Saccharomyces cerevisiae S288C: one gene and its partners. The gene in region 2 interacts genetically with the main gene of each other region. Each region holds a gene or a part of one and is shown on either strand. Other genes may lie near its edges. The genes, in order: CHK1, EXG1, MTO1 and CBC2.

Region 1 (3,973 bases), on a different chromosome or scaffold from region 2:
CATTAAGTTCATTTTCTAATTGCGTAAGGAGATTTTCCACGTAATTTGTTTCTTTCTCACTCATTGCTCCTGTTTCGCTGAGTTCTTTTGCGGTGATTATAGTTGTAAACTTGTTTTATTTTTAATCCCGTAATTAAGGTGTTTATATAAACTTACTCTTCAATTTTTCTATATGCATTTGAAACAGAAAAAAAGATATAAAAATACCAGCTATAACAAAAATCCATGTAAATAAAATTACTGTATATTTTTTTATGTAATCTAATCAAAAAAAATTCACGTCTAATACTAGTCATAAATGGAGTTGAAGCCATTAACTACTTATTTTTTATCTTCGTCCTTTTTCTTTTCTAAATGGACATTATTACCATTAAAGGTTGTTGGGTCTTCAGGATCTTCTTGATGATCGTTGTTAACAAATTGGAAAACATTTGGCGAGACAGAACGTGACGTAGTAAGGTTGGTTTCCGATGGGTACCTGGTTCCGCTAGGTGTCAGCATTGGTGATGCATGAGCAGATGATTGAACTGGTTCCCGAACATTGTTGTATTGGAAACAGCTTGACGAAGCAGCTCCAGATAAAGGTGTTGAAGACCTCACTTCGTGACGATTCGGCTTCGATGTTTCCTCACGTTGTGATGTTACTTCAGGATCTTTATCGTTGTGCCACCACGTAGAGAATCCCTTATAAAGACGGCCCAAAAGGCTTGGTCCCTCCATCCCAGTCACAGATAGCCCCGAGTTTTGAGTTTCTAGTGGTTTAAGTAATAATGCAGACCTTGGAGTTAGTTCTAGTGTCTCTAGCGTCTTCAATTCATCAGAATCCTTAAATGTCACTCTGGGAATGCCCCTGTGGAATGAGTACGGGCAGTCTCCATCTGTCCTGTTGACGTCCACCCATTTTCTAACGTCATTTAATGTTTCAGACGAGTTGAACTCATGTTTTAGAGTCTTGCCATCAGTCATCCTGATTTGCAAGACGCATTTGCTGCTGTGCAGTTTTTGTGCGTCTTTTATGTAATCATGAACATCCAATGGCTTATCATCATCAAGGGTTCTGTGATGAGTTTCATCAAGAGCTTTTCTTTCTGCACGGTCTGCCCTAACAAGTCTTATAATTCTTTCTCTTTCCTCCTCAGCCAGCTTTCTTTGTTTCAGTTGTTCACGACGTTGGATCTCTAAGGTAGTCTCAGCAATCCGTTCTCTTGCATTTTTCCTATGGACGTCTCTGGATGACTTTTCTTCTCTAGCCAAACCTGGATTGGTTTCCCTGGACGAACTCTCACCAGCCTTTTTGTCTTTGATGCCTATGCACGCCAGCAACTTCTCCCAATGTCGGTCATCCTCGCCTTGAATAATCAATTCTATCTTTCCAGCACGTATCAAGTATATACTGGGTACAACTACATTAGGAAATACTTGCTCAAATAACTGGAACTGCTCAGTGTCTTTGACCAACCTCAACCAAATACTATGTTCCGCTAAAGTATCTAATGAGACATCATCTCCTTTAAACCAACTTTTCAGCCACTGGTCATCCCGTGCAGTGTTGTAAACGGCCAGCACAACGCCTTCCTTGATGGAATCGTTTATTGCTTCTTCCACAGAATCTCTAAACAGTGCTTCTAACATTTGGTTACGGCTGTTTGGTTTAGCTATCCTTGCTTCTTTGTAAGTGCTTTCAACCTCAACCCAGCTCCCTTTTAAATTTTCAACATTACTACGAGGCCTGCCGAAGTTAATAAAGAGCGGCTTTAAATGTCATTTTAATAATTGAATGGCAAATAAAAACAACTACAGCTTCAAACATAAGAGTATATCATAAGTTGCTGTATATGGGCAGCACGTATTACTATGAGTCTCTCGCAGGTGTCACCTTTACCCCATATCAAGGATGTTGTTTTAGGAGATACAGTAGGCCAAGGCGCATTCGCCTGCGTTAAAAATGCTCATCTTCAAATGGATCCCTCCATTATTCTAGCTGTTAAATTCATTCATGTTCCCACTTGCAAAAAAATGGGACTCAGTGACAAGGATATCACAAAAGAGGTTGTTTTGCAATCGAAGTGTTCTAAGCATCCTAATGTTTTGAGACTTATCGATTGTAATGTCTCTAAAGAATATATGTGGATAATTCTGGAGATGGCAGATGGTGGTGATCTATTTGATAAGATTGAGCCTGACGTTGGAGTTGATTCCGACGTGGCCCAATTTTACTTTCAACAGCTCGTTAGTGCTATTAATTATCTGCATGTAGAATGTGGAGTTGCTCACAGAGACATCAAGCCTGAAAACATCTTACTCGATAAGAACGGAAATCTGAAGCTAGCTGATTTTGGGCTCGCCTCTCAATTTAGGAGGAAAGATGGTACATTACGTGTATCCATGGATCAAAGGGGTTCTCCACCCTACATGGCTCCTGAAGTATTATATTCTGAAGAGGGTTATTACGCAGATCGAACAGATATATGGTCTATTGGCATCCTCTTGTTCGTATTGTTGACTGGTCAAACGCCTTGGGAATTACCTTCATTAGAGAACGAAGATTTCGTCTTTTTTATTGAAAATGATGGAAATTTAAACTGGGGACCCTGGTCAAAGATAGAATTTACTCACTTGAACCTACTCCGAAAAATTTTACAACCTGACCCAAATAAGAGGGTGACATTGAAGGCTTTAAAGTTACATCCTTGGGTATTACGTCGAGCTTCATTTTCTGGGGATGATGGTCTCTGTAATGACCCTGAACTCTTGGCTAAGAAACTGTTTTCTCACTTAAAAGTCTCACTGAGTAACGAAAATTATTTGAAATTCACTCAAGATACAAACTCTAATAATAGGTACATTTCTACTCAGCCAATTGGTAACGAATTGGCTGAGCTTGAACACGACTCAATGCATTTCCAGACAGTTTCGAATACACAACGTGCATTTACCTCGTATGATTCAAATACGAACTATAATAGCGGAACAGGTATGACACAAGAGGCTAAGTGGACGCAATTCATAAGCTATGATATCGCTGCCTTACAGTTTCATTCTGATGAAAATGATTGTAATGAATTAGTAAAACGACATTTACAATTTAATCCGAATAAACTTACCAAGTTCTACACGTTGCAACCTATGGATGTTTTGTTACCGATTTTGGAGAAAGCCTTGAATTTATCACAAATTAGAGTAAAACCCGACCTTTTTGCGAATTTTGAAAGATTGTGCGAATTATTGGGTTATGATAACGTTTTCCCACTTATTATAAATATTAAAACCAAAAGTAATGGGGGTTATCAATTATGCGGTAGCATTTCCATCATAAAGATTGAAGAAGAGTTGAAAAGTGTCGGATTTGAAAGAAAAACTGGTGATCCTTTAGAATGGAGAAGATTGTTCAAGAAAATTTCAACTATCTGTAGGGATATTATCCTAATTCCCAACTGAAAAAAATGGAGACAAAAGAAGGGTTAAGATGCACTGATCAAAAAAAAAAAAAAATTCTTTCTACTTATTATATATCTCTCTCGATTTCTAGTGTGTCATCGTAACTATATATTGTTTCGAGAGATTTTATTATTGTAATTAATTTATTGCCATTTTGATCTATTCTACATACTAACAATCAATTCATATCATTATCCCTGTTTGAGTAATATTCGAGCCTCATCATAAAATCTAATAATTCAATTCTCAAGTTTCTTCTTTCTTCCACAGATATTCCGTTCAAGTCGCCCGGTGTGAACCCTCTCAATCTGGCCACTAACCTTCTCGACTTTTTTGAAAAAAAGTGCACTTTTAATGAAGGTGTGGCTTCCCTAGATGTAGCATCTTCGTTACCATCTCCCCCCAACAAAGGTTCGCCATCTGCTTCTGTGTGGGCTTGGCCTAATTGAATTTCATGGTGTTTTTCTTTTCCACCAATTGTTTTTGGTACGGTGTCTAAGCCATTCTGCGCGTTGATATTTGTATTTTCTGTCAT
Region 2 (3,755 bases):
TTTTAATAATGCTGGCATTGTAACTTAATTTTTTGTTTGTTGTTGTTTAAGTTCTTTTATCCTTCCTTAGATAACACCTTAAAGCTCCAGTTACAACAGCGGTGAGAATTGACTTTATATTCGGGGCACTTCCGGTTGTTTTACGAACATGTGATTCGGAAATTTTATGCAAGACGACACGGAACGGAACGTATGCCGGCGGAAAAGCTCACGTGTGAAGAAGAAAACAAAAAGAGTAAGCTGGATTTTCTTTTTCGGAGATTCTGTAGAATTTTTTTATTAGTGCAATGAGGTAAAAAGGAAACTAATATTAAATTCTGAAGGTTATGTTACATAGTTTTTATTATTATTATCGTATATTCTATAAGTGTACCATATAAAATAATGTCTTTACTTAGACTTAAGTGAGAGATCTCTGTAAAATGTTGGATAAAAAAGAGATAATGAACTAAAAGGGGTAGATAAATTAACGTTCTGTTAAGTTTTGCTGATGAAAAATAACATTAGAAAATTCAGCTAAAATGAGCGGACTGAGGGCGACTTAGTTAGAAATTGTGCCACATTGGTTTGGATACTTTCTGTCAGTCAATGGTTGAGGGAATAAACCATTGAACATCAATCTTTGAGCATCCCATTCCAAACTAGATTCTGTCTTGTAACACCAGATAATCCAACCCCCTCTCATTTCAAAGGCATCTAGTTGTGCCTCCACATAACGTCTTGTGTTTTCCTTTCTTTCGTCAGACCAGTAAGCTATATCATCGTTGTTAGCACAAGAGCCAATGTAAGAAGATGTTTGGTCACCATTGACCCAAGAACCGTCGTATCTAGCGCCGAAGCCAACACTATTCAACCATTTTGTACAATCAGTCAAAGCGGCAGCAAACTCACCACAAACAGTCCAGTGGGATTCATTCAAAACTCCGGTACCCCATTCACAAGCTACTTTAATATGTTCATCAATGGATCTTTCCAATTGATCAGAAGCAAAGACTTGGTAGTGATGATGGTCGATAGTGACACCCCAGTAGCCATCGTTTTCAGTCATGAAGTCATCCCAATAATTGTATGGTTGGAAAGCGTCATGGATGATGATAACTTGGTCACTCTTGATGTTGTTTCTCAAGTATTCGTAAGCAGGTGCCAAGTAGTCATTCTTCATTTTATCCATGTCTAGAACAGGACCCAATGGCTCATTAATCAATTCGATACCAATAACAGTGTCCAAGTATTCCTCCGCAGAGTATTTTTTCAATATGTAGTTCAAGACATTTGTAGTAACGGCCAAATTGCTGTCTTCCAAAAACTTGTATGAATCTCTCAAACCAGAGTTATCAAACCCGTTCTGCGAACCAGCGGCACCATGCAAATCAACCCAAACTTTCAAGCTGTTGTTTCTAGCCCAACCGATGGCTTGGTCTAGGTAAGATTCCTGTAGGCCGCTAACATAAGGATCATCGTCCAAAGTTTGGAAAGCCCAGTAACCGATAGGAATTCTGACAAGGTTGAAACCTTGGGAAGCAATATTAGCGAAATCTTGTTCTTGGTAGAAAGTAGACCAATGGCTCTGTAAACGGCTTTTAGCCAAATCCTTACCTAAATATTGACAGAAGTGATATTCGTCGACAGGAATTCCTTCGTCGTTGTCATCATTTGTACGGAAAGCCTCGAACAAAGATGGAGTAATGTATGGTTCAAGAAGTAACCAACCACCAATGTTGACACCACGGATTGGTTCTCCGAGGGAACCGTGGTCATAATCGTAGTATCTTTTCTTGTTCTCCTCATGAACAAATTGAATGGAAGAAGGGTCTCTTGCAGGGACTGGGGTAGCGAGTACTGATGACACAGTCAACAACGTACACAGTAACGTTTTAAGCGAAAGCATTTTAGTTGGTAATTAACTAGAAAAAGAAAGTAAACAAAAAATCAAAGGCACGTGTTATTCAAAACTTTTGGGTCCTCTCGTAAACTTTAGTTTTCTATAGTTATTTTTGACTTAGTCAATACATAATAAAAATTACTAAGAAAAGGGAGGGAGTATTTAAAACGTCTGCAAAAACATTACTTTTTCCCAAAAATCCATCCAACTTATATACATTTTTTATCATCCACGCCTTTTTATTTAAAGTGCCTTTCTCTGCAACTGCTCATATGACGATATGAGATGGCAAGTTCAAGTTTGTTACACCGCTTATTGATGTGCACACAGGTACGGAACACGCTAAAATTATAACGGCGTGCTCGAGAGAAAAACCCAACAGGGTTGGTCTGGGCATCTCCAGCAAGCCACGGTTTTAAATTGACAGTGCTTCACACTGCGGTGTTGTCTGGGGCGCCTCTGTATTTGCGGCAACGCGCCTGGTTACGGGCTTGTCTCAGGCTCGTGTGCACCGCACTGTAAACACAGGGAGGATGACTGGGTCAGGTCCCCACGGTTTATTTATAGTAAACAACAATGCGCGTATGTGTGCGTATTAATGCTATAAAAAGAAACGCGCAGTATCAAGCCATCAGATTTTTTTAATAATGGTAAATACGTATGCTGGCATCGTTCCGAAGTCGCGTCTCGGCTGCAAGGTAGGGAAACTTACTGAAAAAGGCAAAGCTCGCATGATCTGGATTTTTTGTTTTGTTTTAAGGGCGTATGCCCTTTGTTAATGAAAAGTAAATATTGATTCTTTAAAAATAAACGCAAGCCCAGTATTTATTTATATACCACAGAAGCAGGCTCCCTACATTACGTACTATTATCTTGAACTATATTACAGTACCATTCTTACCCCACATCTTAGTATACGGAGGAGATTCCTCTTTTTCTCCAATAGTCACTCACCGCATGCCATTCTCCCCTGACATTGCGTATAGCATTAACTACGCTCTTGGGAAATACTTCTTTCATCGTATATCCCATTTCCTTGAGAGTGCTTAGTACGGCTTTACCGATCATGGGGAAGCTTTCCAGTTCTATGCGGTCGGGCAGTAACTGGTGGTGTATACGTGGATAGGCTATCGTTTCCAATATAGGCATGTTATACCAGTACGTCCTCACAATTGTTTGTAAAACACTCGTAGTGATTCTTGAGCCGCCGGAAGCGCCGACCACGAGGTCTGGGATGCCTAATTCTGACAGCACAATAGTGGGTGCAGTGGATGATAGGGGTCTTTTCCCGGGCTCGGGAAAGTTGTATATGGAGGGTGCCAATTCAAAACTATTAGATTTGTTGAATTGAGCGAAATCGTCCATTTCATTATTGAAGATCACCCCGGTTTTTGGGTCGTGTACTAAGGAACCGAACAACAAGTTGATGGTGGTTGTCAAGGAAACAGCATTCCCATGTGAATCTACTATACTGAAGTGGGCAGTTCCATGCGGGTTATTGATATCGTATGCCGGATCATAAAGCGTCCAGTTTTCTAAAGTTTTAAAATTTCCGTCTTGAGAGTTTCTTTTGATTGATTTCACTGCTTTCAAAGCCCATTCTGGATCCAATACCTCTTCTATATGCTTAGGTAATGCTTCGCCTTCAAAATCGCCTAACCTGCTTCTTGCGCTTGCCATCCATTTCATGCTTTCAAGCAAATGATAGGTAGTTTCTTTTTCATAATCGCCCCCTTCTTGATTCTGGAAATTATCCATTATCCTTAACGCCGCAAGTAGTGCAGCCCCGGAACTTGAGCCGCTACTTGTTAATACGGTCATATCGTTATCAGGGATGAAATTGGCGCCCTTCCTAATTTTCATGGACAGTGGT
Region 3 (4,157 bases), on a different chromosome or scaffold from region 2:
AGTCGGCAGATGGTTCCATCGTACTGACACTGGAAGATGTATACTGTGACTGTTGTTGTGGTTCCAAGGAGTCCATAACTCTATTCTGTGATGCCCGCAATCTGTTAAACAAAAACAAATCTTCTTCATTTGTAACCCGTTGATCTTCGCCTCTTGGAGAAGGCGCTTTTCCCATATCCAAGGGCATCTCTATGGGCTTCTCTTGAAGAGAGGGACTGCGTGAAGCTGCTGCCGTTGATGTTGCAGCCGCTGTATCAGATTGCAGATCTGTTTCTAATGGATGAAATTTCGCATCCGTTTCGTCTGCTGACATGGCGTTCTTGTTCCTCTTCCAAAAAGAAATGCTTTTCCAAATACAGATGCGATTAGTAAATCAAATTATAAACGACAGTGAGTTGCCCTTTTGCAAGTACCTTCAACACAAACACTTTATTTATTCATCGAGGTCCCCTTGTAAGGGAGAATTAATGTTACGATACAAGAAGTTTTCCGGGTAAGATTGCTAAATAACGAATTTGATGGTTACATACAATGAATTATTTACATATACAAGCTAACGATTAAAGGATATTTACATGACTGGTTGGCTTGGCTTCCGTGCCACACGGTAGAGTTCAAATAGGGCTGCCGCAGTGATACCTTGAATCCGTCTTGCTTGGCCTATGGTCAATGGCTGTACGCGGTTCAAGAGTAGTTTGCATTCAGTGGAAAGCGTGGGTAACTGACGGTAATCGTAATCTTGCGGCAACAGCATATTTTCGTCTGCCTGAAATGCCTTCACAAACTGGTTCTGTTTGACAATGTAAGGTTCGTATTTACCTTGAATGTTAATTTTGGTGACAACATGCATTGGGATGTCCAGCAAATTAATGGGTAAATCGGGAATGCACTCGTAGAGTTTATGTAGATCCATATCTTTGAATCTGAATATTTCCCAAGCAGATCTGTTTTCAGCCTGTGGCGCGATATTAGCCTGTAGTAAGCTAGACCATTTTTGAGAGCTTAGCTTGAAATTTTGAAGCGCCCGTATTGTTTCATCATATAGGTGCTTGTCTCTTGAATATTGACTTAAACGGACAGGAGATATAATCCCTAGTTGAGCACCAATGGGCGTCAGTCTGAAGTCTGCGTTATCGGCTCTTACGCTGATTCTGAATTCTGATCTGGAAGTAAACATTCTATATGGTTCTATGACGCCATTATTGATTAGATCGTCAATGAGCACACCAATGTACGCTTCGGACCTTTTCAAGACCAATTGCTCCCGTTCTTGGCGCGATAGTAATCCTGCATTGATACCTGCAATGATCCCCTGTGCAGCGGCTTCCTCGTAGCCTGTAGTACCATTTATTTGTCCGGCCAAGAATAGTCCATCCACCAATTTTGTTTCCAAGCTAGGCTTTAATTGCCGTGGGTCTACGTAGTCGTATTCCACGCCGTATGCCGGCTGCAAGATCTCAACGTTTGCCATGCCCGGGATGAGCCTCATCATTTGTAACTGGACATCCTCAGGCATAGAATTGGATATCCCGTTCGGATAAATGACGTCGGAGTTGAAACCTTCTGGTTCCAACCATATCTTATGGGAAGATCTATCAGGAAACCTTAGAATCTTAGCTTCGATGGAGGGACAATAGCGGGGGCCTTTGATGGTCGTGTCCTGAATATGAATGGATTGATGCAAGTTATTGCGCAAAAAGTCGTGCATTTGAGGTGTGGTATGTGTGCCAAAGCAATCCAGTTGCTTCGTGGGTTCGACTGACACGGTTTCATTCAGAAAACTCATAGGGACAGGCAACGCATCTCCCTTCTGGACCTCCAGAGCGCTGAAATCAATGGATTCCTTGGCCAGCCTAGCCGGAGTGCCTGTTTTCAAACGCCCTAACTGAAAGCCCACCTCATTTTGTAGAGTATTGCTGATCCCATATGTTGGCTGCTCGCCAATTCTTCCTGCTGCAATACGCTTGTCGCCGATGTGAATTTCTGCACTGAGAAACGTACCTGTAGTGATTATGACCTGATCTGCCCCAACCTGGGTACCGTCATCCAGAACCACACCTTTGATGACCTTGTGGCCACATCCGGGGTCATACAAGATCAAGTCAGCAACTTTGTTCTGCAGCAGAGACAAGTTGGGGTGTGCTTTCTTGTCGGAAAGTTCCCTTTGCATGTATTTCTTATATAACTCTCTGTCTATCTGGGCTCTGGGCCCCCACACAGCAGGACCCTTGCTTCTGTTCAGCATTTTGAATTGCACTCCAGCGAGATCAGTTACTTTGCCCATCAGCCCATCGAGAGCGTCGATTTCCTTTACAAGGATGCCCTTACCCACTCCACCAATAGAGGGGTTGCACGAACACTTACCAATATCTGTTAACGATGGTGTAATGAGAGTAGTATGCGCACCAGTCCTAGATGACGCAGCTGCAGCTTCGCAGCCTGCATGTCCAGCACCGATGACCACGACCTGTGTCTTGGTTGTGGGTTGGAAGCTTGTCAAAGAAGATATGGTCAACCGCCTCCTGAGGACCTGTAAGGGAAATGAAGTACACGAAGACGCCAAGGTTGTTACACGCAGCATCGTTCTTTGGGGCGTTTAGCTGGTATTCTGCAGAAACTATTGGATGCCCTCAAGATTTAAGTGAAGAATTAAACCGCACTTATCCGTCTGTGAAAGATGCCACCATACGTTACCAACCATAAAGAAAGTGGCCGCACACAGGTACCTTAGAGAAGCCACAAGGGCTCGATTACACGGTGGCGATCAAGAGCCATACAAAAGTAGAAGACCCCCGGATGAAGAAGCACCTCTTTGTACGTTCCTTCTGCAACGCCATATCTAAGTAACAAGAAAGAAGCCACAGCATTACTACAACCCCACACAGGGACAGACAGATATCATAAACTTGAATCTACTATATCATACTCTAATAACTACCTAAGCGTTAAGAAATCGTCTAATCTTCAACTGCCGTTGTTCATACCGTGACTAATAGTGGCAGTAAGCAGCTTTTTTTTTTTTTCAAAATTTTTCATTTTTTTTTTCAGTTGACTCGCCCCGTCGGTAGTGACAAGTGCCGACTGACTCGTGTCCTGGTAATAACAGCAATAATGAATATGCGATGGGCTTGAACTTGGTATTTAAACTATGTTCAGAGGCAAGTGCAACCGCTGTTAACCGTCCCAGGAGCTACCACTAGTAGCGCAGTTATTTCTTATTACTTTCTTAATCATAGCTTAAGAGAACCATTCTCCCTCCCCTCACAATGCTCAACATTCTCGTTTTAGGAAACGGTGCAAGAGAACACGTTCTTGTCACCAAGCTGGCTCAGTCACCCACCGTGGGTAAGATCTATGTCGCTCCAGGTAATGGAGGGACCGCAACCATGGATCCTTCGCGTGTGATAAACTGGGATATTACGCCAGATGTCGCCAATTTTGCTCGTTTGCAGTCGATGGCTGTGGAACATAAGATCAACTTGGTCGTTCCTGGTCCAGAATTACCTCTAGTCAACGGCATCACCTCCGTGTTCCATAGCGTTGGTATTCCCGTTTTTGGACCTTCCGTCAAAGCCGCTCAGTTGGAAGCTTCCAAGGCTTTCTCCAAGAGATTTATGTCAAAACACAATATTCCAACCGCGTCTTATGATGTCTTCACTAATCCAGAAGAAGCCATTTCATTCTTGCAAGCTCATACTGACAAAGCTTTTGTCATCAAGGCCGACGGGATCGCTGCTGGGAAAGGTGTTATTATCCCATCTAGCATCGACGAGTCCGTCCAAGCTATCAAGGACATAATGGTCACCAAGCAATTCGGTGAAGAAGCGGGCAAGCAGGTTGTGATAGAACAATTCTTGGAAGGTGATGAAATCTCTCTACTCACCATTGTTGACGGGTACTCTCACTTCAATCTCCCCGTCGCACAAGATCACAAGAGGATCTTTGATGGCGACAAGGGCTTGAACACCGGTGGGATGGGTGCCTATGCCCCCGCTCCTGTGGCCACACCATCTTTGTTGAAGACCATAGATTCACAGATTGTGAAGCCTACGATTGATGGGATGAGACGTGATGGTATGCCCTTTGTTGGTGTGCTGTTCACCGGGATGATTTTGGTGAAGGATTCTAAGACAAATCAACTTGTTCCCGAAGTGTTA
Region 4 (2,714 bases), on a different chromosome or scaffold from region 2:
CTAACCAAGATTCAACTTTCTAATTGGTTCATAAATGTGAGAAGACGCAAAATATTTAGTGATTACTATACCCTGGTAAACTCAATTCCTAATGACAACGCGAATAATACCCCAGTGGAACGAGTTCAAAACGTCTCAGCATATCATAACACATTATCTGCCACAAATAATACTATGTACGATGCTACGTCAACCTGCTCCACGGATTATGAATTATCCAAGAGATTTGCTCATGCCCCCGTTACACGCCGTAAAAAACTAATTGATAGGCTGGAAGAATTGAAAAAGCTATCCAACCCTGATATGAATTGATCACTTATCAATGCATTACTTAAATATTCATATAATTATATCTATTACCATTTACATTTTATCGTTACTATATATAGTATTATCATGTCATTGAACGTGTTACGTCTATTATGTTACACTGATTTTTTTTTTTTTTTTTTACATAACAGCATCATGCAAGCCTTTAAAAATAATGTAGGTATGTATATATACAATAATATATATATATATATATATATCTGTGTGTAGAATCTTTCTCAGATATAAATTGATTGATTCTACTGAGGTACGTAGTTATCATCTTCTCTTTCTTCATCGAAACCTGGTCTGAAAGTACCCATTGCATCAGGAGGAGGGATATAATTATTCGTATTAGATTGTGAGCTACTGTTATCAAATCTGGAATGTGGTACGCCGACACGCTCTGCAAATGGAATGGCGAAGCCACCTCTGGATGCATCAAAATCGAACCTCAATTCATCGCTGACTTGACCACCGCTCTTACCACGACCAAACTGTCTTCCATCTTCAAAACCAGGATCTAGATCAATGGTAATTGTCTTTTCGTCTAACTTTGTATCGGACAAATATTTTAAGGCATTCAATGCTTCATCTGGACAACTATATATAATAAAACAGAAGCCACATGGCGTGAACTTAAAACGGTCCAAACCCATAATTATTCTTTTTATTGTGCCACATTTACTGAATAATTCGTAAATTTGTTCTTCTGATGTATAAAAGGAAAGATTTCCTACATAAATTGTGGATGACTTCATCGACTCACGCAGTTCTTGTAGCCCGTTAGGGTTTCTTCTAGCCTTGCGCAGCAGGTACCTTGATGGTGTATCTAGGCGTTTAGTTGAATGATCATATTTAACTTCGTCAAATTCTTCCAGGGACATCTTTCCCTTTATTTATTGGTATATTAATGGATGCAACTTTTATTCGATATTAGTCCTTTCGGGACTTTAAAAGCTGTCGAGACACTTTCTCCATATAAACTCATGTTCTATATTCATACATATAATATTTTTCTTGAAAAAAACACAAAAACTGTTAAAGCGGGTAATACTTTGATAAGCACTTATTAACGTTTATACCATACACTACTTCATACACCAATTACAAATCTATTAGTGGTATACTTTTACTGTAGACAATGTGGATTTTGATGTAATTGTTGGGATTCCATTGTGATTAAGGCTATAATATTAGGTATATAGATATACTAGAAGTTCTCCTCAAGGATTTAGGAATCCATGAAAGGGAATCTGCAATTCTACACAATTCTATAAATATTATTATCATCATTTTATATGTTAATATTCATTGATCCTATTACATTATCAATCCTTGCGTTTCAGCTTCCACTAATTTAGATGACTATTTCTCATCATTTGTGTCATCTTCTAACACCGTATATGATAATATACTAGTAACGTAAATACTAGTTAGTAGATGATAGTTGATTTTTATTCCAACATTTACTGGTACAATAGGTGTATGATATTTTCCCAAAGTTTAAATTTATATAATATAAGTGGCTTGTGCATTAATGCTCTTGAACGAAACTGGATAACGAAAACTGCAAATACTTGTAGTTTTAAACAGACACTTTCTGGGATAGGTCTATCAGCGAAGCTTGGGAATGTTTCGCCAAATTACCTGTATCCTTTCATGAGCGTGAGCAGGTTTAGGTCATGGTCACATCTTATTATATAAATTCTTTCAGAAGATTGTCAATTGTCCATCTATCGCCATAGATTATCTGAGAGCGAAGTTCCATTATGTCTACTAGTAGAAAATAATTTGAAGTTGAAATATAATAGCATTACAAAATTTTTTCTTTATATAGTCCGGTCTTGAAGAAGGATAACAATATTAAGTGTATGAAGACACAAGAACTTTTTCTTGGAAATTTGGATTTTTATGGGAGGAAACCTACAGCGGCAATGTATAATTATGATTAGTTCATCCTTTGCTGCCATCTGTTCGCAATTATTCATGCAATTGTATGATTATTGTCAGGCATTTCAACTTCCGGTAGATTCGTTTGTAATAATAGGTGAATTTTGTGTTGACATTATCAAACCGTTAAGATAGTGTTAGTTGCCAATTAGCATTTGCCTCGATAGAATGTGACGTTAGTTGTGGTACTAGGAATAAAAGTTGATGGCCAAACATTTTTCCTGCACATTTCCTTCAGCGTTTTCAGAAAAGAGAATTTGAGTAAAAATATTTTTGATGTTTAGGTTACCAATATCTCATTAATATAAATTTGAAAACAATGAATTTTGGGTTATACTTGGAGTGCATTTTATTGTGGTTAAAGGCTACAATATTAGCTAAACAGAATGTACAAGTAGTTTTCCTGGAGAATAAAAGAATTCTAAAAGAGAATCGATAATTCTATACAATAA

Evidence for each region.
Region 1: mutations in EXG1 (region 2) and CHK1 together harm fitness more than expected from each alone (negative genetic interaction), as found in Saccharomyces cerevisiae (3 studies listed by BioGRID).
Region 3: mutations in EXG1 (region 2) and MTO1 together harm fitness more than expected from each alone (negative genetic interaction), as found in Saccharomyces cerevisiae (2 studies listed by BioGRID).
Region 4: mutations in EXG1 (region 2) and CBC2 together harm fitness more than expected from each alone (negative genetic interaction), as found in Saccharomyces cerevisiae (2 studies listed by BioGRID).

What each region holds. Positions count from the first base shown.
Region 1 is NC_001134.8:747,740-751,712, forward strand, and holds CHK1 (serine/threonine protein kinase CHK1), read left to right. Parts: upstream 1-1,854; coding exon 1,855-3,438; downstream 3,439-3,973. Other genes in the region: HSM3 (Hsm3p), read right to left, coding at 1-64; UBX7 (Ubx7p), read right to left, coding at 322-1,632; DNA-binding protein RIF1, read right to left, coding at 3,617-3,973. UniProt on the Saccharomyces cerevisiae protein: Serine/threonine-protein kinase which is required for checkpoint-mediated cell cycle arrest and activation of DNA repair in response to the presence of DNA damage or unreplicated DNA.
Region 2 is NC_001144.5:727,088-730,842, reverse strand, and holds EXG1 (glucan 1,3-beta-glucosidase), read right to left. Parts: upstream 1,889-3,755; coding exon 542-1,888; downstream 1-541. Other genes in the region: HRI1 (Hri1p), read right to left, coding at 1-18; ECM38 (gamma-glutamyltransferase), read right to left, coding at 2,792-3,755. UniProt on the Saccharomyces cerevisiae protein: Glucanases possibly play a role in cell expansion during growth, in cell-cell fusion during mating, and in spore release during sporulation. This enzyme hydrolyzes both 1,3-beta- and 1,6-beta-linkages and even has beta-glucosidase activity.
Region 3 is NC_001139.9:53,216-57,372, forward strand, and holds MTO1 (tRNA modification protein MTO1), read right to left. Parts: upstream 2,582-4,157; coding exon 572-2,581; downstream 1-571. Other genes in the region: transcription activator HAP2, read right to left, coding at 1-313; YGL235W (uncharacterized protein), read left to right, coding at 2,064-2,600; ADE57 (bifunctional aminoimidazole ribotide synthase/glycinamide ribotide synthase), read left to right, coding at 3,267-4,157. UniProt on the Saccharomyces cerevisiae protein: Component of the MSS1-MTO1 complex that catalyzes the 5-carboxymethylaminomethyluridine (cmnm(5)U) modification at the 34th wobble position (U34) of mitochondrial tRNAs.
Region 4 is NC_001148.4:210,640-213,353, reverse strand, and holds CBC2 (nuclear cap-binding protein subunit CBC2), read right to left. Parts: upstream 1,197-2,714; coding exon 570-1,196; downstream 1-569. Other genes in the region: CUP9 (Cup9p), read left to right, coding at 1-312.